Linked DNA regions of Oreochromis niloticus. The protein of the gene in region 3 interacts with the protein of the main gene of each other region in a pairwise test. Links are inferred from orthologs where the notes say so. Each region holds a gene or a part of one and is shown on either strand. Other genes may lie near its edges. The genes, in order: chtopa, ptk6b, khdrbs2 and dock2.

Region 1 (7,849 bases), on a different chromosome or scaffold from region 3:
ACATCTCTGTGTGTTCATCATTTGTTTGAAGCCAGCTCACCTCCTGCAACCACTTTTCTGAGAGTACGCTCTTCTTTTGCGGTTCGGACTCCTTCTGACATTTCTTTGGAGGTGGAGGAACACCAAAGTAATTGCTTAAAGGAGCTTCTTTGACATCTTTAAGAGTTCTAAACAAATGTCTGTCCTCCTCCAGAAAATCTTATGTACGCAAACGCGCGTTGCAACTTCTTATCCAGTGCGCGTCTTTTATTTTGACAGCGAATGCGCACCTGCGGACCACTTATGTGCACCCCTGGATACAATCCTAACCCTGTAGAAATGTTGGCCAATCAGAAGTCGAGCAGCCTGGGAGGGAAAGTGTAAACAAAGATGTCTTTCTAAACTGTGTTTGTATACGTAAGCATGTAAAAACTGCAGATACTCAGATTAACAGCAACAGTATTTTGTCAACATCATTGTAGAAATTCATCTCATGTAAACAATAACGTGTGATGCCAAAAAAGGTGCACACCGTTGGCGTTGAGTGACTAAATCTCTGTTTTCTTCGTCCACACATAAACACAAAAACAGTTTTTAATAATCTGTTTTCAGTGATGCAAAACGCTGTGTACGTGTGGACCAAAGGCCCAAACGCACAGAAGAAACTGCGTTTTCAAAAATACCCATGTACATGTGGACGTAGCCTTAATTTGGGTTAAACATACTCAGATCGAACCAACAGTGCCACGGACACCAATTTCACCTGAACGTCGCGCTCACCTGCTTGTGATTCAGAGCAGCTTGCACCGAAGGCCGGTTCTCCATCTGCTGGGCCAGCCGACGATTGCGGGCGCTAGCCAAATGCTGCTGTTGCATGGTGGCTCGAATGCTTACCGCAGTGGGTTGCTTGTTCTTCAGCATATTAGTGAAGCTTTAGAGGTGGGAGGGAAAAAGAAGGAGGAAGTAAAAGAAGGGGACAGGGGATATACAGAGGAGGAGGAAGCAGGGTTCCACATCATGTCATTTCTCATATGGATGATCGTGGCAGCTCTTTAGTCATGTTAGACTTTGTTCCACTTGTTGGCACTTATTTTCTCTCTCGATCATATGATATTCCAGAGTTACTTACACTTGACTTTAGCCCGTGTTGTAAAATTAACACAAGGAGAAAAAACAGTTGAAAGCAGACTTCAGGACAGGAGAGAGAAAGTTTCAGAAGAAGAGCCACAATTGCCACTTACAAGCCTCCAGCTGACACTGCGGGGATGTCATCATGTCGCAGCAGCAGAGGCCAGGGCATGAGGTGTGCTTTGGCACCCAGCCACTTACAGGATGGACCGTGACTTTATTTAAACCACCAAGTGGTCCGGAACTAGGGAATTGGTGGGGAAGGGGTAGTCCCTTGTCACGTCCAAGCTAGGACTGAGTACTCTGAGCAGGGAAAGGAGGAAAGAAGAAGAAGACAGACATGGTAGAACATGAGGAGATAAAAAGCTTCACTTTGACTGGTCTGAGAGAGAAAAAGATGAGAGGCAGAAAAGACAAGATGCCCCATCTCAGTGACTTAGCTTTAGCTCTCTGCTCTCCTGCCCCATTTAATGGTGTATACATGACGTATACAGTGCTGTTTAAACAGGGAGCCAGCGTGCCAAGGTATTTACAGGACGGTGGTCTGGTTCTGCGTATGCTTTACCAACCACGACCGCTACAGTCACCCCTCATCTACATGTGTGTGCTGCTCACACAAAACATTTGGCCTGGGCAAGCCCCTTCTGCCCCACACTTCATTTACATGTAACACAAACAAGGACAGGGCCAACAGAGTTGAATGAGCAGCGCACACACGGGGAACAGCCAGAGCTGCATCCATAACAGGTTTGGTCCCAACAGTAGGTTTCCGTAGAGAGTATTAGAACCTTCACAAGCCAAGGCTGGCAGCAGGTGACTAATTTCTGACAGGGTGCGTAGCCTCTCACCGCTCATTTAGGGACACTTTGGTGGTGCTTTTCAGGACAACTTTTTGGGAGGCAGCTGCACTCATTTTGAAAGACTTTGATTGTAGAGTCCTGGAAACAGAAAAGACAGAACTTGTTTCACCTCCCTCTCTTTTACACATAATGTATGCACTACTACTAGATGTTAAATGACCACTTTTAACCCTGGAGAAGCCATGGGGTCAAATTTGACCCCATGGCTTCCCTAGAAAACCAATGGGGTCGGATCTGACCCCATGGGTTCTCCAGGGTTAAATCGCTATTGCAAGGAATTTGCTGTAATTAACATCTACAGCTGTTACATGTGTGTTTAACAGAGAGATTATTTTGAGGACTACACACAGTTTCACACAAATCCTACTGGGATCGTTTAAGTAACAGTCCTCCTGGTAGGAGTAACACACGACCCCCTCCCACCCAAGCTAAACTTCAGACCAGCCCGACTGCCAGTTTGGTTGACTTAGCAAAGTTTTCAACTTCTTTAAACTCTTTTCTGTGTCAACGGCATTTAAAATGATCGATTCTTTAGGGGAAATTTTTAATTTGAACACAATTATCGATCACGTCCGCTGGAAAAATGAAATGTTTAGCGAGCGCCCATCCGGTTATAACAAACTGCAGAGACAAGAACAAGGAGTAACGATTCCGCCTCGTCTTCGCTAACATGTCGTTTATCGACGAATAACAACTTTATCTCATACTTACAGCGGATTCTGCGTTGGTAGAGAAATGCCTCAAAGCTAGCTAAGGTTAGCTTTAGCAGCACAGCGGCTTCGTATAGGTGTCCTTGTATCCTGTTTAAATACAATTTACCATATACTAACTCCCCACGCACGCGCGGCTTGAAAAAGCGCGTGAGTAAGCGACCCTATATCAAACTCTCCCAGGAATATTGTAAAACGTGGGAATCGAGACTCCTCCGCGATCCGAAAGCCTAAAATGGTGCTCCTGGCTACACTGATGGGAAGAAAATGGAGAGGTTCTTGTGACGCTGACGTCACGAGGACACGACTTCCTGTCCGCTCGTGCTGGTTCAGTAAAATGGCAGCTACAGCTTTAGTCGAAGGTTCTTCTGGTAACGATGCTGTTGCCGAGGGTTTGCTCGACCTCCTGAGACCAGCAATACAGCAGCTCGATCTGCATGTAAACTCGGTCAGGTAATCAGCTTCCTCGTTAGATTAGACTGCAAACCGTGCTAGCTTTTTCTCTCCAATGTATTGACAGTCAGCTGACTTTCCCCGTCAGACTGATTGTTTTGTTGTTCAGTTTTCTCTGGACTCACGTGACTATTCGTTTCTTTGCAGAAAAAGCCAAGTGGAATTAAGAGAACATATAGACGGTCTGGCCACAGGTAAAGTCCTGCATGAAGTCCTTCAAATATAGCATCAGCTATAAAAGATTCATAAATAACGTGCTGGTTTTTTCAGAGTTATGCAGGATAAACGAACATCAGAAGGTGGCTCTGGACCTGGACCCATATGTAAAGAAGTTGCTGAATGCGAGGCGTAGAGTTGTGCTAGTAAACAACATACTGCAGAACGCTCAGGTCGGTACCAGTCTGTAGCTGGGCTTCTTAAAGCCCCCGAGAAATTGTATCACATGTTCTGCCCCTGTCAGCATGCCTGTACAGCCTTGGTCACATCAGACATTAGGCAAGAAATTAGTCTAATGTCATATTGAGCCCCGATAAGGGCGGTACCAGAGAACAGTGAGTGGGGATCACGTGTGCCACCTGAGTAGAACATGTGAGGTAGAGTAACTATGGAAGTTGTCTGAATTTGATTCTCCTGACATTGCCCGACTTCATCCACATGTTCATGTACAGCTGTAACTGCAGGGTGTCTGTGTGATGTCATTGCCACAGCACAGTTATTAGGTTTAGGGGACACTAGTTTTTTCACATAGGGCTGGGTAGGTTTGGATAACTTTTTGAAATCATCAGGTTATCTTTGCAAAATATTTAAATTTGTTTAATACTCTGAAACATGCAAGTGTGACAAATATGCAACAAATGGGGCAAATAATTGTTTTACTCCATTATAATTGTCTAGGTAGACTCTGCAGTGCACACATGCTCAAGGTAGACGAGATTGACTTTAAGAAAAATAAGTATAATAAGAACCAGTTTCCTGGCCCTGATGTTTACTGGTGTACATGTCTGTAAGCAAGTAGAATCCCAGCCTTAGAAAGTAGCAAGTGAACATAGTGGAGCATTTAGCAGCTCTAGACCCAGATATTTATCTTTAGCAGATTCAAGCTGAGTTAAAAGGAAGTTGTTGTTGTGTTTATAGCTGGACCAACAACTCCAGATAGAGTTAAAGCTGCTTTAAAACTTTTGTACAGCAAGAAATGAAGAAGTTCTTTACTTTATGTTTTTGTGATTATATAAATTAAACTGAATTGAATTGACTGCTTCTGTACCAGTGCACCTTTACAACTATTTATACTGCTGCCAATTATACACTAGCACTGGTTGTATTACTACCACTGTACAACTTCCACTATAATAAATAATAATTACTGCTATTAATAATATTGCTACCATCACCAGCGCTACAAATACTGTATGAAGAGACTTGTAATTCCGATTTCCATGGCGACCACAGATATACTAACTATTCAAGTTGCCTCAAAATGGTGTAAAAACAATACAGAAACAACATTACACAACCTGAGCTTTCTTTGTCCAGGAACGTCTGAGGCGGCTCAACCACAACGTGGCCAAAGAGACGGCGCGGAGGAAGACAATACTGGAGACCTCGGGCGTCTTTGCTTCCCGCTCACCTAGTAAACCATGAACCTCACCTTGAACCTCCTTCTGCTCCACACAGCAAATACTGTGAGCTATTTTGATCAGCAGCAAAGGATGATTGTGATTATAGGAAGCTAAAAAACAGGAGGGGCCAGTCTTCCTTTGACATTTGCTTGTCTTTTTGTTTAATACCTTGCTGATGTTCTGCACTGCTTTTGTCACAGTGAAATTCCAAGCTGCTGTCTGCTTACCATTTGACAACTTCAGAGTACGGGCTTGCAATACAGTGGAGATATTTATGTAATAATTCTAATGCACTCAATAAATAGATACACTATGTGGACAAAACTATAGGAGCCACAGCTCTTAATCTTTTGATGTTTTTATTCCCACATCTGTGTGAAATCAATCACTGGCTTTGCAACCTGCCTTCACAAACATTTTTGAAAGAATGGGTCATTGTAGAGAGCTCACTGTATGGCAGTGTGGAAGTGTACAAGACGCCACTGTTGGTGAATTTTCACTCCAAGATAATACACAATCAACTGGAAGTGGTATTCACTGGTGTGAAAAGTGGAAGATTGTACATCCTGAGAAGGAAAGGAAGCACTGGTGAATCCAGCAACACAAAAAGACCCGGACGGCCACAGAAGACAGCAGTGATGGATGATCACAGAATCATTTCCATGGTGAAAAGAAACCCCATCACAACCATGTGAACAACACTCTCCAGGAGAGGTTGCTGTATCCATGTCCAAGTCTACCATAAAGAGAAGACTGCATGAACATAAATACAGAGGGTTCACTGCAAGGTGCAGGCTACCCATAAGCCTTAAGAATAGAAAGGCTAGATTGGACTTTGATTAAGAAAAAGAATTGAAAAAGCCAGCACAGTTGTGAAAAAACATCCTTTGGACAGACAAAACCAAGATCAACCTCTACCAGAATGATGACAAGAAAAAAAGTATGACGAAGGTGTGGAGCAGCTCATGATCAGAAACATACCACATCATCTGTAAAACACAGGGGAGGCAGTGTGATGGCTCGGGTGTGCATGGCTGCCAGTGGCACTGGGACACTGGTGTTTATTAATGATGTGACACAGGACAGAGGCAGCAGAATGAACTCTGAGGTGTTCAGAGACAGCCTGTCTGCTCACATCCAGCTAAGTGCAGTCAAATTGAATGTTTCATAGTACAGATGGACAATGACCCCAAACAACCCAGGAGTTTATTAAAGAAAAACAGTGGGATATTCTTAAATGACCAAGTCAGTCATGATCCTAACCCAGCTGAGCATTTCACTTACTGAAGACTAAACCTGAGACAGAAAGGCCCACAAACAAACAGCAACTGAAAGCTGCTGCAGTAACGGCCTGGCAGAGCATTAAAAAGGAGGAAACCATCATCTGGTGATGTCATGAGTCCAAGACTTCAGGCTGTCAGTGTCAGCAGAGGGTTTTCAACCAAGTATTAGAAATGAACATTTTATTTTCAGTTATTTAATTTGTCCAATTACTTTTGAGCCCCTGAAATGAAGCGATTGTGTTTTAAAAAAAGATCCAGGTCCTTTCATTTTTATGCAATCGTTTTGTTCAACCCACTGAATTAAAGCTGAAAGTCTGCACTTCAGCTGCATCCAAGTTAATTGAAAATTCATTGTGGTGAATTACAGAACCAAAATCAGAAAAAGTTGTTACAGTTCCCTGTCCAGGTGTAATATGTAGGTGGCTCAGAACTTTTGTCCATATAATGTACAATAAATACTTCTATCCATGACTGCAATGTTAGAAATGTTGCTCCTGTTACAACATGCAAGAGAGAAGAAGATACTTTACCTGTGATGTTATGAACAGTTTCTGTGGTTGCTGCTGGAGCCACTGGCACATGGAGGTCATTTGCTTCAGGACCTTCTCCCATGCAACATGACTAATGTTGTTGAAAGGGTGTATTTTAATCCAAACATTTTCCTAAAATAAACTCTCTTTTTTTTCCCTTTTTTTTTTTTTTACTAAAACCTGAAGATAATGTAAATTATTATAAGACTTTGTATCAGAAAAGCCCCAAATGTAGACTACTGGCTATCTGTCATGATGTGATCTGAGTAGTTTGTTTCGCTGCCTCTTATTTGTCCTGCAGTTAAAAAGCACAAGCTTGTCCCCTCTTAATTTTGTGGCTGTTTAATATCCACATTTGCCCTGGAGTAGTTTCAAAGCAGATGCGTATTGTTAATAGAGTACTTAGAGGGACTGTTTTGTATAAATCAGAGTAGAAACTTGCCTACTTGTGGAAAGTAAATTCTCTGCACATGTTGAATTGTATTTTCAGCTATAGACACATTAAATACTTAAAGATACTTAAATGCAAATGTACCTGTAGAGCATAGTGTCTTTAGTTGTCTGTCATTTTTACCAAATCGTCACCGCATTAGGAGAAATCCCTCGTCTTCACAGATCTGACATTTTGTAAATGGTAACAAAACTGTTCTCTCTTTGGAGTGTGAATGTCAACATTTCACTGAGTCCATTCCTTCTGCAACAATCTCAACACCTCTGCCTTGTTATTGGGAGACAGTATCTAAAATGAATTTTCATTACAAGGGTCACATCTGATTTAAAAAATTATCCTGGAATAAGCCCCCCCCCCCCCCGGACGTTACCGCAGTGTTTGTGTAAGGATTGTGTGAGTGCCATTTTTTCCTGTTTTTGCTACTAGAAGGATAAAGTTGTGCTATTGCACATGTAAATGACGTGTAAGTGAACTAACATGCGTTGTTGGTGTATTCAGTGATTCAGTGTGAGCCTACAACGCTGGAGTCGTGCTCAAATACCGAGCCGTGCCGTTCCAGTGTTGGTGGTGGTGACTCGGGGCTAATCCTCAGCGGCGCCACTTTAGAAAAACAGTCTCGCGGGCCAATCTAGGCGAACCAGACAGTTCGTGGCTAGCGGTCCTGCTGTGAGAACCACAGCGCGATTGGCCGAGAGGTGCGTGCCCTGTGACACCTGACCGCCGATTGGCTGCGGCGTGTCGAGACACTGACGCGCACGTCGTCTCCCAGCTATTGTTATTGTGGCGTGCACGAGAGGAAGGGGCAAGATGCACGAGGAGACAGTGGGTCTGATAAA
Region 2 (7,661 bases), on a different chromosome or scaffold from region 3:
GTGTGTGCGTCCCAGTTTGCATCACAGCTGAAACACAAACACGGGCTGGTGTGATGTAAAGCTGTGACATTTCTCATGGTGCTCACAGCGTACGGCTCAGTCAGGATCAATTAAAGCTGCCACTGTTGGACAACCACAAAAATAAACGAGCAGCACAAAGTGTGACGTTATAAAGACGAGCAGCTCGCTGGCGTTTTATCACACTGTAAATAGAAGACGGATGTAACTTGTTTATACTTTCACATTTTGAAGCCTCAGTCCATTTCCTGAGGGGAACATGTTTGGATGAGCGGGTGGAGCGCTAAGTTATCAGCTGATGCTATCTGGGTCAGCACAGACTCTATGGGTGCATCACTCAGACACCTGCTGATCCATAACATCCAATCAAAATACTAGAATTTCACTCAGCAAACTTGGAGCTCCACCTTCTTGGATGCTCTGTTAGTACAGTAACCTCACAGCAGCCATAATACTGGTCACATGATGTCATTAATAACAGAGGTCTGACTAAAAGCCTAGCAGACAGCTAGCAGCTACAGCCGCCTGTGTCACCACCACCTGTCAGTCAATGAGGCCACGCCCCAATAATGCAAACTCGAAGAAACAAAATATCTCTAGGGACCAACAAGTTTGTGCATCAGGCTGCAAACATGTTTATTTCGGCTGCAAAGTTTTAACATGAGAGACTCGTTGCTGGAGCCCCTGCTGGACGTTACAGGAACTGCAGCTTTTGAAGCTTCAGTTTTTTTTGTTTGTGTTTTTTAACAGGTCAAAAAGATGATTAACAGCATCCAAATATTCATATCAAACGTTAAAAAGCTGAGCGTTAATAACATTTAACCTTCATAATGTGAACTGTTCATTTTTTCACCTAAAGCAGAGCTGTCAAACTCCAGTCCTCCAGCGCTGCTGTCCTGAAACTTTTCCATGTATCCCTGCTGCAGCACACCTGGATACAATAAGTAGGTCATTAGCAAGACTCTATAGAACCTGACTGCATGCTGAGGTGACAACCCCCAACCCTACTCAAGTAAATTTAAATACAAGTGTTTGGAAAAAAAGTACTTTTATTGCACCATGTTCAGCCACTCATGAGCTGCTGTAACATGAATCAAATGGCTGAACTGCCACCTCAGCATGCACTCAGGTTCTATAGAGTCTTGCTAATGACCTACTTATTGTATCCAGGTGTGCTGCAGCAGGGATACATGGAAAAGTTTGGAGTTTGACACCCGTGACCTAAAGCGTCTGATTAGCGGGGCTGCTTTTAACGCTCCGTGCTGACTGCCTGCATCTTTTCACAGAAGTGACAGGAAAGCAGAACTTACAGAAACTTCCACTTTTAGGCAGAGCTGTAAACAGGACGCACATGCCCACTTTACTGCAGTAGAAAACAGCCGTTTGACTCCCAAAGTGCCTTTTTACAGCACTCTGCTTCACTGCTCACCTCAGTTTTACTAATGCGATAAAGGATAAATGTGTGATAAGGTGATAAAGGTTAAAGGAAGCGTTTACAGTTCCTGGCAGGTAGGTGGACATTGTGGACTCTGGCTGATAATAAAGGTGTTACACATCCTGATTTATGCATCTGCAGCTGGAGGCACAGCAGCCTCGTGAACATAATAAAAAACGAGATTCTGAATGTGGGCTCACACACACACACACACACACACACACACACACACACACACACACACACACGTGTGTGCAGGTGAAGCAGCGTCTTTGTTCCACTGAACTGTCAGCTGTCTGCTCAGATAAAATGAGTTTCTGCCTTTGAGCTGGAAATCTTCTAGCTTTCCTGTCAACACCTTTACCTGTTCTGTGACATATTAATCAGAAATTACTGTGACACTTTTCTGAAGTATACACTTAATGTACTCGTACATTCTTGAAAAACCACTCTGCTGCTTCATTCTTGTGCTGCGTCACATTTTCAGTGTAAACATTTAGAAGCTTTAGTGTCTGCCTGTTGTACTGACTTTATGGTGTGAATCATATGATGCTGTGTAAATAAAGCTGCCCCAGTGTGGAGGTCATTAAATCCCCTGCAGCTGCTGCATTAAATCAAATCATGGATGATTATACTGCCACACTTTGTGCTGAAGCTTTGCTCCTGTCGGGTTTGAGTGTAAACTCTGTGTTGGACAGGAGAAGCTCAGAGATGAGACACCTGAGCTGTCTACTCTCGGGGCTGGATCAGGTGTGTTACCCCTGAAACAATCCTGGAAATGTCCTGCTCTACTCCTGCGACACAGACACGCCACGTGCTTCTGTCTAACGCGGACACCGGGATGGCCCTCGGAGCTCCCAGAGGCGAGAGCTGCTCTCTGGGAGCCGTCAGAGGAAGCTGCACTCACGGCTGCACGTTGATGGACTCTGCCCTCGCCAGGTAGTTGTTGGGGACGATGCCCTGCGCCACGACGTGCCCGTTGCGGTCGATCTTCCGCGCCGTCCACCAGTCTCCGCTGCGGCTGACCACCCTGAACAGGTCTCCCTCCTGGAAGGACAGCTCCTCCTGGTGCCGGGACTCGAAGGGCCACATGGCCGTGTAGATGCAGCTGCCCTCGGAGGCGGTCTCCTTCGGGGGCTTCGGAGGCGGCGTCGGGGCCTGGGGCTGCTCCCCGTCGCTGTCGCTGCAGGTGCCTCTGCGTCCTCCTCCTCCATCCTCTTCTTCACCTCCTGCTCCTCCCGCTGGCTGAGGAGCCTTCTTCTCCGTGAGGATCCTCTCCCACAGTGACTGCAGGCAGGGGCACGCTCTGCGCAGACACTCACCCATGGGTGACCATGAACGGCTCCGCGCGGGCTGTGCGTCACCGCAGCTCGGCTCAGTCAGCCCGCCACACCTGTCCGACAGGTGCAGAGCAGGGAGCGCGGAGAATGTCGGGAATGCCTGAGAGGGGAACGGCGCAGTGAAACTGTACGGGCCGAGCCCACGGAGGGACTTCCTTTAGTCACAGAAACCACGGGAGCCCCGCCCCCAGAGGGTGTCATCAATCTGCGCGCGCTCACACACACACACACACACATCGGGGTTTTACAGGTGCGCAGGTGTCTTGCCAAGGTACCCCGCACGCTCAGCTCGCGGGTTACAGCAGGACGTGGTGACAGCATTTCATGTCCACATGATTCACTTACCTGATTTTTTCTAAAATGTGCCAAATATGTACAACAAAGTAATTAAATGATGTGTTTAAGTGTTTGCAATTATTTAAACATAAATGAAATGCGTTTCAAATATGATTTTTTTTATTTTACACACCTTTTCGGTGACACACGCTCAATTTCATTGTGTCCCACAGTGCCCTTATTAACTTCCTCCAGACGTATATGTCATAAAATTATATATATCAATTTGATAGACTATACTAAGCTTTATTTTATTATGCAATTGAATCTGATAAAACTTATTTACTTTTTTCTTCATAATGTACTTGTCCCAGTAGTAATTTTCCACCCTGCTAGAATGTGCTTTATTACCTTAATAAGCCCATAAAAGCCATTTACAGGAAGTGGCATCATTTGTTTTTGGTGGGAATTGAACTGTGGAAAATGAGGTAAACTTCAACTGTCACTTTACTTTTTTCATCTTAAACATTTTACACCTGTATGGGTCAACCTCAAGTTTCCACCCTGTTAAGGTCAAATGAGGAAAATGTTAATTAAGTAGAATATTTTTAAAAAACATGTTGGATTGAGTTAATAAAGGTGTGTTCATTTATTGACGGTTAGCTGGCTAAATGTTGATCAGCTAAAGAGCTACAGCTAGATTAGCTAAACAAATTCCACCCTGTTAGGTTCATAGACTTAACAGGGTGGAATTTGGGGGGGAACTATCACGTGAAAATGATAAAAAGAGAGCAATAATTATTATTGTTATCATTAATTAATAACAAAGAGAGGAAAGATAGTCAGAACTGAGGGGATCGAACAACCAGAAGGCAACATTGCAGACATAGAGGACAGATACAAGTGACTAGGGGCGGATCTAGAAGGGTGGCATGGGGTGGCAAGTGCCACCCTAAAATGATCCCTTGCCACCCCAAGTGCCACCCCAGTTTTGCATATGACAGTGTTGTTTATTAAAATAAGATAGCATTAACAGTTTGAGCGTAGTTACAGTCAACAGTGAATATAAATGCTAAAACTGAATATATTGCATAGTGTTCCCCCCTCCACCATTAACAAATGGTTCAGCCCATAGCAGGACCGGCTTTTTTCTTGTTATCAGCAGCAAGCGATGCTCATGATTGTGCCAGAGCACATTTTGAACAACACCATGGGAATTTTGGATTTTGCACAGGTGGTTGGATGTTACACTCTGGAAATGGAAGCAAGGTGAGTGTTATTAACCCTCTGTGGTCCACGGACACGCTGCACCTCCAAATCACATGACTGATGTAAGCTGACACAGCAACAAGCTGCAGCCACGCTGAGTCTCTATTTCAGCCCACATTGAAAGTTCGGACTTCCAAGTTTTTACATTTTAATTACAGGCCAGTAAATCCAGAGTTATGATAATATATATAAGCCACGCTTTTTTCTAAATACTGTCGTCACGTTTTTGTGTGTGTGTTTTAAGCGTTTTCTAAGGTCAGCGCGAAAACAGTAAAGAAAGGAAAAGAAGCCACCTCTTTGCTATCAGTGGAAAAATGCACCATGTCGACCAATTTAAAAAAAAAGTCAACATGTGGGATTTTGTTGTTTAGGAAGAGGGGAGAGTTTTGGGAGTGACGGTAACGGCAGCGAGACAGAGCGAGCGAGTGAGAGAGGGAGAGAGAGAGAGGGAGTTTTTAGATGTGGGAGATTTGTGACGTTTAGTGTGGAGTGTATACTTAGTGTGTTGTGTTGTCTTGTGTAGCTGTTCTGTTGTGTAGTCGTTTTGTTGTGTGTGTCAGTGAGGGCACTAATGAATGTCACTAAGGCACATTTGTAAACACTGTCACTAAGTAGAAAACCAGCGGAGTGATACACCTGCTGTTGTCAGGCCTGCAGGTTTGTCCCTGTGCTGCTCTCCTCTGTCTTTTGGTGGAAAAACTTTTTTTACTGGCACACATCATTTGTGAGGCAAAATGTACAATTTATATTTGCATTTCAAGTTATATAAATTTACTCAACATGTCTGTGGGTTTTTTTACAGTAAAAATACTACTAGGATTTTAAGTTCTTTGTGTGATTTCAGATCAGTAATAGTACTATTAATAGTAATAGTAGTACTAATGCAGTATGTCAGTGACAAAAACAACTAAATTCAGTTGAGCTGAAAAGATACCAAACAAGGCAAGGGGGGGGGGGGGAATAAAATGAAACAATCTGAGGGTGAAATACAAACGTAAACTCAAAAGGAGTCAAAAATGGCCGCTTGTATTTCAGACCTCAGAGATCCAACAAATCATGAAAAATTAGGTTTAAATTTTTGTTCATGACAGTGCAGATTTCTGACATTTTGTGTAATTTAAGCTGTAACAATGTGACTGTTTTCTAACCAAAAACAGTGAAACTTAAGTTAGACTTGTGTTTGTAAATGAACTGCTCCATGTTGTGTAGCTTTCTGGATTTTATACTTATTGGGCTACATATTTATTTATTATACAGGCTATACAGTACATAAGATCAAAACTCACATGTTTTATGTAACCAAAGTGTGTAATTATGTGGGCTACAGACAATAATTAAGTTATAGACTATATTTATATGAAAAACGTGTATACTTACTGCATTTGAATCATTTTAACCATATGTAACCACCTGCATATGTGTTTGGAAAAAAAGCCTTGATTTTGCCACCCCATTTGATTTCTTTGCCACCCTCATGCCACCCCAAGAAAATTTGTCTAGATCCGCCCCTGCAAGTACCCACAGGGAATCATGAGGAATACCTCAGGCAGCAGAAACCCAAGACAGAGGAGGAAGAGGAGGAACCATCATGGAAGGACAGGCCCCTGCACGGTATGTACCCCCGGCAGATAGAGGAGGTGGCTGATATCCAGAAATCCTACCAGTGGCTGGACAAAGTTGGACTGAAAGACAGCACAGAGGCACTAATCATGGCAGCACAAGAACAAGCTCTGAGCACAAGATCCATAGAGGCTGGGGTCTATCACACCAGGCAAGACCCCAGGTGCAGGATAGACCGCCCGCAGGGGGGAGAGGGGAATTTCTATGTGGTACTATGGTGTGTGTCACAGTGTTTATATTCTGATGTACTTTTTAATGAACAAATATATATTTCCACCCTGTTTGGAAAAATGTTTTTTAAAAATAATTGAATAGAATCATTAAGAAAATGTCATTGTGAAAATGTCTGTGCCAAGTTGAGAAGTCAGGAACATTAAATGCACAAATATGTATATGTTTTTAAAACTACAAGTATTTTACATGCTGTTGGAAAAAAATGGGTTAAAAATAAATAGTTTTTTGTATAACACAGACTTATAGTATTTGTAATTAAATTACCTGTTACAGTTTCAAGAATAAAACATTATATTAAGAAAAGGGACACACTCTGTCTAAGAAAAAGTGACTATTGATCAATATTTACATGTTTAACTATTTCTGGTCTGGGTGGCCATGTTTAATAAAACTACCTGTAATTACTATTTTATCTATCCTGAGCTTGACCAAAAAGAGAATCAGCCTGGTGTCAGATAATCAGGCGTGGGTGAACTCTCCGAGCAAACGGCTCTGTGCTCGCTTCGTGACGTCACCTGACTGTTAAACAGTTTATTCTGTAAAACACATTTCTTTTTGCACGCTGCTTCTGCTATTTTGACATTTTTCTTTGGTGAAGAGCGCCGAGTCTTTCGTGCTGGGAGGTCTCTGTGTCATCACTATAATCTCAACTACCAGATTCAAGCTCCAAAATGTTGAGATTACTTCAAACCTGCACAGTGCAGGGGGATCTCAACTCTGCGTTTACACCTTGAAGCATCCTGTTGATGTCATATTCTCTTCAGTAAACACAGTGTCTGCTCTAACATCACGTTTCTTATTCCTGCCCACGCTGCCGCCGTCTGTATCAGCTGCACCAGCAGCCCGGTGGTTTCACGTGGTTTCTGCAGTCAGGGGGAATCTACACAGAGCCAAGCTTTGCACCATTCCCCACCTCTCTGTGACTCATGACCACTGATCAGCGGTTATGATCATTAGTGATCTTAAACTGACCTCACGGCCCATTGTTAGTCATTGTGCAAATGTGCTGTTTACAAGTCCAAATGTTTCAGTGGGAGAAACGTTTCGTCACTCATCCCAGTGACTTCTTCAGTCTTGGATGATGATGAAACGTTTCAGTGAAAACGTCCAGATGAACAGAATCAGCTTCCCGGGATCTGGATTCTCTGCTGAGGTGAAGGATCATTTGGAGGGACCGTGGCTGCGCTCGAGCTGGTCTTGGACCTAAAAGGCAGATTTATCTTCACTGCTGCACATTATCTCGCTGGAGATGAGCTGTATGTGTTATATTACAGTGCTGAGTGTGAAACAGATAACTGTTAAAGAAGTGTTTTTGTTTGTTGGCTTACTGTTTTTAAAGTGTTTAGAATTAATATTTTACACAGGTTTAGTTTACCAACAAATATTTATAACAGGCCAAATACTGCAAACATGCTAAGTAGTAGTTTATACAGGGAGTGCAGAATTATTAGGCAAATGAGTATTTTGTC
Region 3 (6,995 bases):
ATCTGTCAGTCTGAGGAATCATTAGCCTCATGCAGCATGTCCAAGAAAAAAAAATCTGCATTTGAGATTGTGGAAGAAAGTTGTAGCAGTTTCAAAATACTCTGCATACAGTTTTGATTGTATAATATACCAATCTATTCATATATTCTGTCTAACAACCCTTGCTGCTTCATAAGAGGAAGCTTAGTTTCAGCTCGACAAGAGAATTATCCCCACCCACCCGTAGTTTACAGCTGCGGACTGGAGCTTTGTTCCAAAGAGTTTTAAATCAGCTCAAAGAAAGACAAACGGTTTTAGAAGCAACATAACTTAAACACAAACAGTAAATAATTCATTTCATAAATATGGAGATGCTAACTGTGACCACGGTTAATCCATGTTATGCTATTGATTGTGCATGATGTTAATAACACGGGATTACATCCTTTGATATTCAGTGATAAATAGCTGCGAATCTGTAAATCTGTAAACGCAGTTTATCTTGCTGTCCACCGATACGCAGGGTTTTTGCATTATCCATGAGCATAGACTGACAACACAAGATAACAAGTCTGTGCTGAACATTTTTTCACATGCTGCCCACGGCTGATTGTTTTGGACATTGCAAGACTGACTGAACTGACAGTTTATTATACTGATTGGCCACTTTTGTGTTTGATGAATACAGAGAGGTTTCTGTTTACTGACTTTGCCAACAGCATTCTTCTCAGACAAATGCATTCCAATGTATTACTTTTTCTACAGTATTGTACTGTAATATTGAAGACTGTACTGTATTGTTAATTATGGGGCATTGTAGTGTGTGTATTTGTTGTGAACTGTTAAAACTGCTCAGAGAAAAAAGTTAGTAAAGAAAATACATAGGTATCCTCATGTAACATGCTAATTGCAGTTCATAGTGGTAGATGGCATTCTTTGTTTGCATCCTGGCTGCGTCAGCTAGGCTTGAGTACATATGGCAAAGTGTACTGTGTGACAGATGATCCCATCTGCATCCCAGTTAGCGACAAGAATGGGAGTGTCAGGTGTCTCATCAACACATTTCAACAGGAAAGCTCAAGGGGCCGAACAGCAGAGTGCACACACACCCCATCCAGCAGCTAATTAACACAAAGTGTGACTTTACATTTTTAAACAAACATGTCAGAACCCAAAATTAGCATACATGCATGATCTAATAAATTAGTTAAATCAACTGCCTTCAGAATCACTAGTGATAACATGTTTAGCACACAGGAAAAACAGTAGAGAGCGTTTCACTGAGTGTTTTACAGTCATGTAACATATGATGGCATTTTATGTTTAATTTTGTCATTTTATGGCTGATATATTGTTTTGTAGAGGAATACGTTACTAACTGGTTTGCTTGCTTGTCATGTTTGGTTTGTCTTGTCTTTCCTGGTAAGGCCACGCAGGTTCATCCATTCACATTTATGATAATCATTCAGCCATTCACTCCAGTAGCACGTCACTCAAACGTTTATCCGAGCTTTTATAGCACTGCACATCAACCAGACTTGTGCAATTACAGGAAGAGAGACCACGCAGTCTATACGAGAAATGCAAAAGTTGCATCTCTGGGCTGAATGAGCTGAGCTGAGTTTTTGTGTTCGCTTTGAGGTGACACACTTCCTATCAGAAGTGACACATTCTCAGCATGTGAATGAGATGAAGGCTACAAAGTACTTTAAATGCTGCAGGCTGATTGCGGCACTCTGTTGACATACAGTAACATTATTCTGGAGGAAAGGCTTTACAGCATGTTTCACTGACATTTTCTGTTCTCCATTACCTTGATGGCATTTATCCTGTAAGAGGAGGTGTGCATCTATCAATTTTCGTTCAGTCAGAAATCTATGACTCATGATGCAATAATTACAAACACTTTGATTTTAGCCTCCAAGGTTTAGCTCACGTGGAATAATTAAAATATTAGAGAGGTGATATTTGGCTTGATAAATGACCACACAATTCACATATTTTACAGAAAAAATATTGGCTGGCAGCACACAGTATTATAACAGGATTAAGAGCACGTTTACCTTAATACAGTACTATGATTGTTGGACTGACGAATGTGGCACCTTTTTTATTATTTTTGCCCTGAAGTCAATGAGAAATCCTCAAGGAAGACATTCGCTTTATGCGAGCCAGCGCATTGATCTTGGCGGACAGTGGGGTTACAATAACCCCCTCTGACTGTACACATACTTTAGTGTCTCTGCTCACAGCATTTGTTCACTTGAAGTTTTGGGGAAAACCCAACAAAAGTTCCTCACTGGAGCCGAAGAGCAGTGTCTACATTAAACGCACAGCACAGAGAATTCAACTGTCGCCACGCAAGCACTAAAAGTCAAGAGTGATGTGTTAAAAACAAGCTCACATCAGCTCACTGTACTGCCCCAAAATTCAATGCAATTGTGCTTTCACGTTAGAATGAACATCGTGACTGTCGCCAAGTCCAACATTCAGAGTGCATTAGACTTGAAAAAAAAATAATATTTTCTATATATACACACATATATACTTGACTTACCTTCTGCAAGCAGGCGCACCGCATGCACAAAGGAGGGGTCCAGGCTGTTTTTCTCGGACACCAGCTCAGGTAGGTACTTATCTGGATGCATCTTTATCACAGCGGACCTCTTCACCGGCAGTGCAGGTGAGACGACAGGAGTGCTGAACGTCACAATGCAACTATAAACCTTGCCGCTCCTGCTTCTTGGTAGCTGTAGTCTACCGGTCTTAATGAGGAACACCAGCAAAACCCCCTCCAAAAATTGGTCTTCCAGTGTCTCCCGAGATGCTTGACTGGGGTAGGGGTGGGGGGGCTGATTTGTGATTCAAAGGTGTGAGCCCATCTCTGCTACCGTTGCCTGCTGCCTCTCCTCGGCACCCCGCCAGACTCAGTGGGTCTGCAGACCGCGCTGCTCCCCGCCCCTCAGCAACATTATTGGCCATATTCTGGGACTGGCGCTGCTGAAACACCAAGAAAGGTCCCCGCTGAGCGCAAAGGAAATGCTCAGTGTTCTTTAAGGGAATTGCTTTAAAAGGATGGGGTTGCATTTGGTCGCTGCTGACAACGGTCTATGAAATAATGTCACCCCGAAACTATAGATTCTCGGTTTTTTTTCAACTGGAAACTTTAATAATATTGGATATAGTACTCAAACAGAACAAATAAAGCATGCTAGTAAAGTTTTGTTGCACTGACAGACTGTACCATATAAATGTCGCTTAATTAAATGGGTTTTTTATGCAGCTCGTGAGTTTCAAAGTAACTACAAAGTCAGTACAAAGTAGCCCGCAGGCATTCACCTGTGAGGGACAACACAACTGTTCATGGTGCTAAACACTGGCTGCTGTCTGATTTGTTTGTACATATCTAATTTGTCTTAGATTTACGGGTAACCTAAATTAGCATACAGCATACTATTCTTCACACTCCACATGACATGATCCACTTCGTTAACTCTGTCCCACACGCTAAAACAGGGGTGTCAAACATAAGGCTTAGGGACCAGAATCAGTCTGGCAAAGACTCTAATCCTGCCCCGCTGGACAGCCTTGGAAACTGTCAACAAAGGCATAGATTTTTAACTTTTAACTGTATTTTCGTGAGTTTTACACTTTTGTCTTTTGATAAAGGTTTAACACATGGCTATTGATGCTATTTTTGTGTTTTGTACTGTCTACCACAAAAATTTCTCAGAGGGGGGGTTGACACACTGTGTATGCATTCCACAGTATCCATTGTGCACAAAAGCATTTCTTTATAATGTAGAAAAACCGAGATGTACTCTTAAAACTGAACATTCTTTTTCTTATATTAAAATGTCTCAAGGTTTAAATGTGCAATTAAACTTCTTTATACTGATATACATGGGAGTTTCATTAGTCTAGGTCACTTATGATCATAGTGGGCTGTATCTGGTCCATGATACAAAATGAGTTTGACATTGCTGCTGTCAAGGAAGTTTGGCTGTATTGTTACAGAGTGAATCATATATTTAAAGGTATGCATGCCAAATAAACCATTAATTAGTTTTTCCATGTTACTTAATGAACTTATGTCAGTTCCTTACATCCTTTGAGCTGCATCCCCTCTTATGGCTGAAGAAGGTCAGCTCTAGTAGAGCTTTAGCTGATTGCATAGTCAGTGGCAGACTTGGCATAAAGAAGCTTTAATATAAATAGATATTTAATAATAAAGTGAATTCTTCACTTACTCATCAAGAGCCAGTGTTAGTGGTGTCAGCACTGTAAGCATGAATGTTTATATCTCATCAAATGGCTCTCTTGTCCCCAAGCCATGATATTGACTTGAATCCAAAAGTCATCTTCGGCACAGCATGCAGGCTGCTTTACTAACTCACAAATTAGATTTGAGCAGATGAGGCTGGTGAACGACCAATTCTGGCTCCACTTGACCTTTAGAGTTGTTTCTCCCCGCACTGATCAGAATCATAAAGGCTCCTCGCGGCTGCAAACAGCAATGCTTTGTGAATATGAGTCAATTATGTTCATAGTATTTATGATTCTTCTCAGTTTTGGTAGAATTTAATATCTTCTGAGAAACCAGGACATTTGTCTTGGAAATCTAGTGCTGTTGTTTTGGGGTGCTCTGTGGTACATTAATGGCTGGAAATATCCATAAAACTGAGCCAAAGGTTTCTTTCATTTAAATTGTGTATTGGCATTGAAGATTACAGAGTATGACTTTTTTATGGCTTTTTAGGGTGATTTAAAAGACTGTTTTAGAGGCCAGAATACCCAAGTGGGTTTGTCTGACAGAACTATTTCATTAATCTGCTTATTTCTGTAATGCCAAACAAGCCTTAAAGGAGTTAGTATTGATTAAAACTTCACACTTACATCCCCTTTCCATTTATTTTTCATTAAGTTCCTTTCTCTATGAAATCAGACACAGCTTTATTTTTCTTCTTGAAAGCCTAAAACAAGCAGCTATGGCCATGTTGGCCAGTACTGTCTTTGCATTTCATGCTCGCTGGACCTTCACTGATTTAATTCTATTCAATAAAATGATTTATGACAGTGTTAATGCAAATCATGCTGCTGCTGCTGTGACTATTAATGGTAATGAGGGTTATGACGGTTAATGTGTTTGAGTCTTGTAAGTCTATAGTATGTTTGTAGATGTAGACTAATGCAGGCATATTGAAATAGACTCACACCACACACACACACACCAACAGATGAAAACAATAACAAAAAACCCATAGACACCTTATTACAAACCATAATTTTTAATAGATTTCTAAAGATTTCTACAGAAAAACTTTTTTCTTTCATCATCTCAACGAGATGAAAAATATTCCAAAATTAAGCCAACACAAGACTCAAACTGGCATTTATTAGTGGAGAGGCAAAAGCAAATCAGTTTCCAAAAACTCAAATCTTAACATTCCAAATTTTACTGCATAAAAAAAAGGAACCTGTTAGATTTCTTCTCACTTCAACTTTTTATTTTTAAGAACTCATCCATATGGATACTGGAAAGATTTAAAGTTAAGGATGCGATTGCGTTGACTGACAGGTCCACAGACACAAGGAGATGTTGTCCATATCCGCTAGGCTTAATTTGAGACACTGGTCCTCTTTACCATATTTGTAAATGGTAAAAAGACTGACAGGTATATAGCACACCAGCACTCGATGGAATTTTTAAATTTTTTTTTCTAATTCAGTTGAGTACGATTCTAGTATTTTTATTAGTCTGTTACTCACCACTAGTCCAAACGTGGTGTTCTATGACACCGATCAACTACATAAATGGTAGATATAGCTACCATGATGTCATCCATTGGTTTCTGAGGTTTCAAGACTTGAATCCACAGTATAAGATATTTCAGATAGCATGTGACAAAGGGGTGAAGGTCTGTGCAGACCTACCCAAAGAATACCACAAATAATGCTCCTTTTTCAAAAATAGTATACCAAGATTGAAAAAAATAAACATACCCTTTTAGTCCAGGTGACCCAAAAGCATTAATTTAGCCCACTAACTTATCAAAAAAGTATTCACTAAGGTAAGAAAGAAAGCGTTTTTTCCCCCCATAGACTTCTATTGTGGTTTTACAGACATGTGACCACTAACCATGTGATGTTAACATGTCTGCCATTTTTGGCTTTGTGACAATAGAATATACAGTAACGATGTAGGATCAAGTGAATAAGGCCCTGGTCACACAAGCAGAGAGTGATTAGTAACCATCTGGCAACCACCTGTTGCTAGGGAAAAAATGTGTATTCACCAACTGGTTAGCAAATAACTCCTTCCAATTGCTTTGGTTGCTAGCATATTGCTGTGGTCCTAGTTTGAATGAAAGAGATGGTTTTCTCCATGAACACTTCCCAGCTGCTCTCCAAGCTGCAGTGAAACAGTAAAAAGTGTGAAGCACATCAGAAATGTAGATCATTTGCTACAAAGTAAAAGTTGTACCTTTCTCTACCAACCAGTGGTGGTATCATGCCCAATATGGCAGACAACTATTGAGCAATGTGCACATGACTTTACATGAGAAACCTCAACATGACCCAAAGTCTTTTTTGCAAACAACAGCTATCGCCATCTGGTGACCTATAGTTAGAATGCAGGTTCAAGACACTTCTGCAGTGGGTTCATATTTCTGACCCATAAATCATGTCCATGTTTTATACTGTTTATTATTCCACGGTGGCAACATCCATCTTTTATTTATAGTCCATCAACAGAACTACTAGGGTCAGAACTTAAAATTTAGTTTTAAGTTTAGCTTTCTGTGTGTGAGAGTAAAATTTAAACTTCTTTTAATTTCTTTAAGAAAATACTTTTATCAAAGTATAACTGACAGCACAATTATAACAAACGTTTTCTTTTGATCATAACTTTTATGTATATTTCTTTATATGCATTTGATGGACTCTTGCAGCCCTCTAGTGGTCAAAGTGCAACATTATACGTTTTACTGACAGACTGATAACACTATCATTAA
Region 4 (6,968 bases), on a different chromosome or scaffold from region 3:
AACTCAGTGCATTTACATGTTCAAGACAACCTTAAGAAGTTCAAACAGAGTTTCAGACTGAAAAAGTGACTGAAGGGACTCTGAACGATGCACTGTTGTTACAGCGAGGCTCGCTTGTCTGCCAGCTAAGAACTGAGGCTACAATGTGGTTGAGCTCACCAAAATTGGGTGGTAGAAAACTGGAAAAAACATTGCCCGGTCTGATGAGTCTTGATTTCTGCTGCAATATTCAAATAGTAGGGTCTGACTTTGGTGTAAACAACATGTAAGCATGGAACCATCCGGCCTTGTATAAACACTTCAGACACAGGTGGTGGTGTAATGGTGTTGGGGGTATTGTGTTGTCACAGTTTAGATTCCTTAGTACCAATTTAGCATTTTTTATCTGAATATTGCTCGTGACCATGCTCATCCTTTTATGGCCAGAGTGTACCCATCTTCTGATGGCCTCTAATGGCTGTTTCTGTGTGACAAAGCCCAAATCATCTGGCTAAGACACCAAATCTCCATCCAACCTTTGAGATTTGCATCAGGAAGGTTCACTCTGCACCAACTGTATTATGCTATCATGTGAACATGGACCAAAATTTCTGACGAATGTTTCCAGCATCTTGTTGCATCTATGCCAGGAAGAATTAAGGCAATGGTGAAGGCTAAACAGGGCTTAAACCCAGTACAAAGGTGTACCTAAAAAAGTGGCAGTTGAGCGTACATATTATATTTTACATATATTTATCATGTTTATGCTCCATAAAATGTAACATTTACAAATACACGAACAAAATATATTTACTAACATGCAGTTTTTCAATAACAAATAATTTCAAAGGTTTACACATCTATGTATAAAGTATCTGAACCACACTGACAAACCAGATAAACGTCTTATTTAACACTATCTTACCTTCGCAAACCTCCTGGATGTGGACAGTTTCGCCCACCTCCAGGGAAAGGTGCTTCTCATTTTGGCCAACAAAGTTCCACTTTACTAAAGAAGAAGAAAAAAAATAAGTGAATAAAATAAATATATAAATAAATAAGTTGAATATATAATTAAGGTTATTGTTACAACGGAAAAATAAACTTGAACACAAACACTAAGTGTGCAGTGGCAATGCGTCGGTTACAGGAAGATTTTAGTACACACGGTGAGCTAGCTTGATTAATGACGTCACACGTTATAAGACTTAAAAAAAAAGGCTAACCAGTAAAAAAACACAAGTAGCAGTGAAACACAATAGTAGTTGGTGACTAAGTAGCTTAAGGTAAATATAAATAGGTAGCCCAAATAAGTTAGTGTATCCAGATGCTGGCCAGCTGCAAACGGTGGCACACACGAGTAGGGAGGCAACGGAACAGGTTGAGGAGCAACGCCTTTCTTCATTGGGCCTCAGGCTGGGCTTATGCGATAGTAAGCAGCATTTGTTTAGGTTTTGGGCTGTTGATAATCCGGAGATCTGGAGCAATTTTAAGACGTTAGTTGGCTCTTTTTTCTGCTTTCTGTCTTTTCTTTAATGACTGTATCAGTCAAAATGATCAGATTTAGGAAACACTGAAAGCAGCAATGAGTAGCGACATGCTTTGCAGCCAAAGACCAGTTGCACGGCAGAGGAAAGGTGTGCAGAGCACCGACAGCTACAGAGTCTATCATTCCTCTTTGTGCAACAGTTCAGAGGCTTGCTCTCCTCCATTTAAGCTTAGAGATGGTTTGCCCTCAAGAAGAACTGCAGCTACAAAATGCCTGCTAATGAAATTGTGACTGTGCAAAAAAAAAAAGAAAAAAAAGCCAGAATATTTCTAGACCGATGCTTAAACTGATAGAAAAGGAAAAGGAAGCTTATTTGTGCGCACTTCGTGAGACTAAATTGTCAACATTTTTTTTCTTTGCATCAGACTTTTCTGCTGTATTCAAACTTGAGACTTCCTTCTTCCCCCACTTCCTGTGTTGTAGTCTTACACAGACCAGGAAGATATTTATACTAGATACAATAAACAATATTTTCTTTGAGTAAGTATATTAGAAAGTGCTTTAAAATGACTTTTTAACACACACCCACTGTCAGCATCAGTCTCATGCTAGCAGTAGATGAACTACTCAGGTGGAAAAAACCCTACATGGTCTATCTTTTTGCAAGTAGGTTAAATGATAAATCAATGCAGTGGCTGCAACAGACCAGTGAACCTCAGTTAATAAAGTCTGTATTAAGAGGCAGAAATCTGTGTCTTTTCCAAGTGTGTGCCTGCACTGCATATCTAATGGCAACACACACTGATTAGCTCCGCCATATTAAACCCACATACATAACAGATAAACTGCACACTGTACTTGCTCATTCTAGGATTTGCTCCTAGCCAAAACCAGGCTTTCACTTTCAAAAATGAAAATTTTTAAGGACTGTTTATCTTCTAGCTTCTGTATTTATGTGCTGCATGCTATGCAATTTGTAGAGATTGCCTACTTGCAGCTGCTTATTTCTCCATCTTTGCTTATGATTTTATCCCTCACAAACCACTGCACGAACCTCTTCAGTGCAAATAAACTATAATTAGCGTAGTTGCACTGAAGTTAAATGATGAATAAGATTTCAGGATCTCAGTTCTTTGGAGGGATTAAAGCTGATGTCTACCTCCTAAAGCTCTTTGAGGCCTTTGGCACCTGCCTACATCCGCCAAGCAGGAAGTGATGGGAATCTATTTTTCTCATTTCTATTCATTGGCTGTATAGGCTAGCATCATACCGTAACAGAAAGGCACCATAAAAACTGGATGTGCCTGCACATACTCACACAAAGATACATACAAACAAGCACATGTTGACTTACCTACACCATACCGCTCTCTTGTGGTTTTCGTCCAAGGAACCATGATTGTGTGTAATCCTTTACCTACTTTATACTTTTGTCTTTATAAATCTCCTAGTTTGTCCGTCCACCTTAACTTCTCATTTCTGCATTTTTTTAACGTTAAATGAAAGCAATAAGCCCATCCCCCTTTGCCTCTCTTCCCCTTCTGTGTCTTCTCTCTTCCTGCCTTCAGGCGGTTAAGAGGAAGTGGGTGAGTACAACAAGGTGGAGTCCTACAGCACCCGCAGGCTTTTGCAGCCTGCGATGTCTCTACTTTCCTCATTTAGACTCGCCTTCATTATTCAAAGTAAAACGTCAGTAGCACATGATGACAGTTACAGAAGGGTTAGAGTCGAGAGGATGTCTGAGTGTCAAACCGGGCCAATACGTGCACATTTTTTGTTGCTATTTTTTTCATGTTTTCATATCTGAAAAACGCAGGTTGTCTGCTTTCTCACAGTAGCATCTAGCCGTTGAACCGCTGATGACTTAAACCATTAGTCTCACAGCTTATTCAGCCATCGTGCACATAACATACCCTGACCTTTTCCTTTGTGCATCACCATTTGAGCTTGTGAAATCAAATGTTGTAGAAGGCAAAGCATCAGAGGATATGGCTTGATGATGTGTTCTATTACAGATAATTTGAACTCCCCCCCCTCCTCCTCGATCTACAACCAGAAAGGTAAAAGTGGAGAAAACACTATAACAATCCGAATGGCTAGGCAAGCACTACAATACCAATGCTGATCTTTAACAATTTTATGTTGAATAGGAAGGGACGATGTGTTAAAAGCTGCTTGGGTTTTTTCTTGCATGAGACATCAAATCACACTCTGTTTTTTTATATGAATTTTGCTGCTCATTAAAATTGATCTGAAAAGACTAAAAAAAAAATGCCTGTAATAACCCAGAGGCCACGTCATCAAGCCCTGCCTGCCTGGCCAGCTCTCCATACCTCATTAATGGTTAATTTAATATGCATGTGAATACAGTGAAAAGGAGCTAATGACCACATTTCAGCAGGATGAAGCAAAAATTATTTGACTTTGGCAGTCACTAAAAAACTTTCTAATGTTTGCAATGTTAGCTGAAAGACACATAAAAGACTGCATGTATAGCAACCGCAGCAATTTTGTCTCTTTAATCGGGAACATTCCTGCAGCTCTATATACTTTCTAAACTGAAACTGCACTCGTACCTCAAAAAACAGCGAGAGATGTGAAGTGACGCAGATGTTAACTGGGCCCTGAATTCCTGGTTTCAAGAATCTTATATAAAACTAATATTCAAGTTGTGGACTTTAAAGAAAACACTCCTTAAATAAACACATATTTACCCTGTACCTCCCACAGATTATGTTGCCTTGGTAACCATTAGCTTTCCATTCTTGACAGCATCCTTCACACAGCAATTGGCAACAAGCATCCATAATTGATGAGACCTTTTTTAATATTATTGATCGCTCTCTTGACATTAATTATAACCTACACTCTTAGAATAGTAAATAGTAACTTTTCAGAGACCAGTGGGAAGTAATTAATATCCAAACGATCCATTTATAACCTAAAAATCATCCTCCAGTCTTTATGAACTTCATCATTAGTATGACAGTCCAAAGCAATCAAAGCCATTTTTTAAAAAGTACCCTGTGAATATAAACTCAATTCTTCAAACCATTTTCAATTGGTCGCTGATTGTCCTTGCAGCTTGTCTTCTGTTATAGTCCCTATTAGGGGAAATATGGATGACTCAGGGATTAGTTTCTTCTGGAGATCTTCACAAGACAAAGGACCAATCAAAATACTCTATGTGAGTATTACTTTTTGGACAGCCAATGTAAAATATAAAAGGCCTCTTGGCAGGTTGGCTCTCAACCAATAAGGCTATGGCTGTCAGGTTTTGACAGCATCATTGGTTGAGGCTGTCAAAACCTGACAGACACATCAAAAACTGATCTATCATCAGCATATCAATGTTATTGTGGGTGATGTGTTTTACTTTTGTTATGATGGTGATTTTAGAGGCTTACTCACATCACACATTTAAAATTAGCTATGTCTGAAATGATCCTTGAAAATGAAATAGTATTCTTTACTAAAGTGAGGACATAAAGGGATTTTGGGTACTTCACAAGTGATAGCCAATGTGTATAATCCATAGACTGTAAATGAAAGGTAGAGCTACTCTTGCTTTGTCCATTGGGACGTTGTGTTGAGAAGCTGCAAGTGTAAAGTTTTTGCCCTTACCAACTTGGTGATTTGAAACTTAATGAAACTGAATGTGGCAAGAATTGAACTAACCAAGAAATCACCCGGTGCTCATAGGCTGCTTGTCAATATATCATCCTGTTTGACTCTAGTAGGGACCAGGCTTTACAAAATGAATGTTTTATGCAGTGTGACTTTAACATAGAGAGTGAACACATGTCCCTTTATAGGCCACCCATTTTTTAGTTTTTGATTTTTACGTTTCAAATCATGGTCAGTTAAGTCACCGTATAGGGTTCAATGCCCTGTAACGAGGAAAGTGTTCACAGAGGTTTATAGACTATGGCACCTAACCTTAAGTCATAAGAGTCACCTGCTGGTAACCTTAGAAAACAATGTGGGTTTGAGGCACTTCTGCATTTGCTTCACTTCTCAGAACCTGAAGTATACATTTCATATAGTCTGTGTTATAATGTAGGTGAGATCATTTGAAACCACACCTTGTGACTCTCAAGTAACATCATTTGAAGTTGCAAATCAGGACATCATTGCAAAACACAATCACAAGTAAATCTAAATTCCTGGTAGCGGTTTATCATAATAACATGGCAGAGTTTCACAGCAAGGCGTTCATGCATATTTACCACAGCTTCTCAGCTGTTAAACATAGAGATAAACTTGGTGCATTGGAGTTGCCAGCTAAGTTAACATGTGCAGTATATCAAAAACTGTTATTTATAAGAATAAAAGGGATAGATAGAAAGAAATCACATTAAAAAAAACTGTATGTATGGGTCAAAAAGAAAATCCAGAAGAGGGGGCTAGAGCTCTTAAATGGTTTGTTTGTTTGGTTTTTTCAAATATTTCCTTATATCTTATCAGTAAGAAGTATTTGCTTCCTCCTGCTCCTTTCTGAACGGGAAATGGTCAGCTTTTTGGTTTTTGGTTTTCCTTGTGAGTAGAAAGGCTTCCAGCGATTTCGTGTTTATTTGTTTTAGTATGTATTAACACTTGTTACTTACATGTTCGAAATAAAGATTTGGCTGATTGATTGACTGATCAGTATATATTGTTTTCTGAACATAGTGTTGACATAGACTAGGCACTACACACGCTGGTCACTTTATTAGTTATACCTTGCTAGTAGTTTTGGCTTCGTCGTGGCTCTATAGATTCAACAATGTGCTGGAAACATTCCTGAGACATTTTGATCCATATTGACAAGATAGCATCGCACAGTTACTGCAGACTTTTTTCCATGAGGAAAATCTGCATGATGCAAATCTCAAAGCTGCCCTATTGGACTGATCTAATGACTATGGAGGCCATTTGAGTACAGTGAACTCTTTGTTAATATTACTCTTAGTTAATATATGATGGCATGCAGATACTTGCTCAGTAGTAGGAAACTAAAGACATCCCACAGGTTGTTATTCACTCTCAAAACATGCCTATTTTCTTCTCATCCCTGTGATGCGTTCAAGGTGCACATGAGAAGTTGTGGTCAGTGTTTCAGCACTACAGAAGACAGTGAGCATAAAAAGTAATTTTTTTAAGTAGGTGGTGTCAAATACAATTTCAAATTCTTTCCAAGTAGCTCAACAAATCAAATGCACGCAAACATTTCTGTGCACTCTGACACAAATTGTGTCAGCTAGCTAAAAGTATATTTCCCAGGGAGAGCAAAAAAAAACCCAACCAAAAATGTGCAAGCCTGAGAGATGGAGAAAGAATGAGGACAGAAGAGGAAGATGAGAGATTATTTTCAAAGGTAAGCAGTGCTCAGCAAGTGCCATTTACTGCACATGACCCTTAGTCTGGTTTGTTGGGTCATGTGACACATGGGTGGAAAATACGAATTCTTGCCAGCTGGCTGTCATCAGGGGCTGATTGTGACTCAGTGTATATGAAGAGC

The links.
Region 1: the proteins of khdrbs2 (region 3) and chtopa interact in binary tests that used the Homo sapiens proteins (3 or more experiments, as listed by UniProt). The two-hybrid records come from large-scale screens. The link is inferred for Oreochromis niloticus from reciprocal best matches to the Homo sapiens genes KHDRBS2 and CHTOP.
Region 2: the proteins of khdrbs2 (region 3) and ptk6b interact in binary tests that used the Homo sapiens proteins (3 or more experiments, as listed by UniProt). The two-hybrid records come from large-scale screens. The link is inferred for Oreochromis niloticus from reciprocal best matches to the Homo sapiens genes KHDRBS2 and PTK6.
Region 4: the proteins of khdrbs2 (region 3) and dock2 interact in binary tests that used the Homo sapiens proteins (3 or more experiments, as listed by UniProt). The two-hybrid records come from large-scale screens. The link is inferred for Oreochromis niloticus from reciprocal best matches to the Homo sapiens genes KHDRBS2 and DOCK2.

What each region holds. Positions count from the first base shown.
Region 1 is NC_031985.2:35,541,946-35,549,794, forward strand, and holds the start of chtopa (chromatin target of PRMT1a), read right to left. Parts: upstream 3,006-7,849; 5' UTR 2,679-3,005; intron 2,046-2,678; 5' UTR 2,021-2,045; coding exon 1,956-2,020; intron 911-1,955; coding exon 760-910; intron 1-759. UniProt on the Homo sapiens protein: Plays an important role in the ligand-dependent activation of estrogen receptor target genes. May play a role in the silencing of fetal globin genes.
Region 2 is NC_031984.2:955,544-963,204, forward strand, and holds the start of ptk6b (protein-tyrosine kinase 6b), read right to left. Parts: upstream 3,018-7,661; 5' UTR 2,780-3,017; coding exon 2,361-2,779; intron 1-2,360. UniProt on the Homo sapiens protein: Non-receptor tyrosine-protein kinase implicated in the regulation of a variety of signaling pathways that control the differentiation and maintenance of normal epithelia, as well as tumor growth.
Region 3 is NC_031978.2:20,112,397-20,119,391, forward strand, and holds the start of khdrbs2 (KH domain-containing, RNA-binding, signal transduction-associated protein 2), read right to left. Parts: upstream 3,006-6,995; 5' UTR 2,628-3,005; coding exon 2,537-2,627; intron 1-2,536. UniProt on the Homo sapiens protein: RNA-binding protein that plays a role in the regulation of alternative splicing and influences mRNA splice site selection and exon inclusion. Binds both poly(A) and poly(U) homopolymers. Phosphorylation by PTK6 inhibits its RNA-binding ability.
Region 4 is NC_031966.2:22,944,371-22,951,338, reverse strand, and holds the start of dock2 (dedicator of cytokinesis 2), read right to left. Parts: upstream 3,025-6,968; 5' UTR 2,866-3,024; coding exon 2,823-2,865; intron 989-2,822; coding exon 905-988; intron 1-904. UniProt on the Homo sapiens protein: Involved in cytoskeletal rearrangements required for lymphocyte migration in response of chemokines. Activates RAC1 and RAC2, but not CDC42, by functioning as a guanine nucleotide exchange factor (GEF), which exchanges bound GDP for free GTP.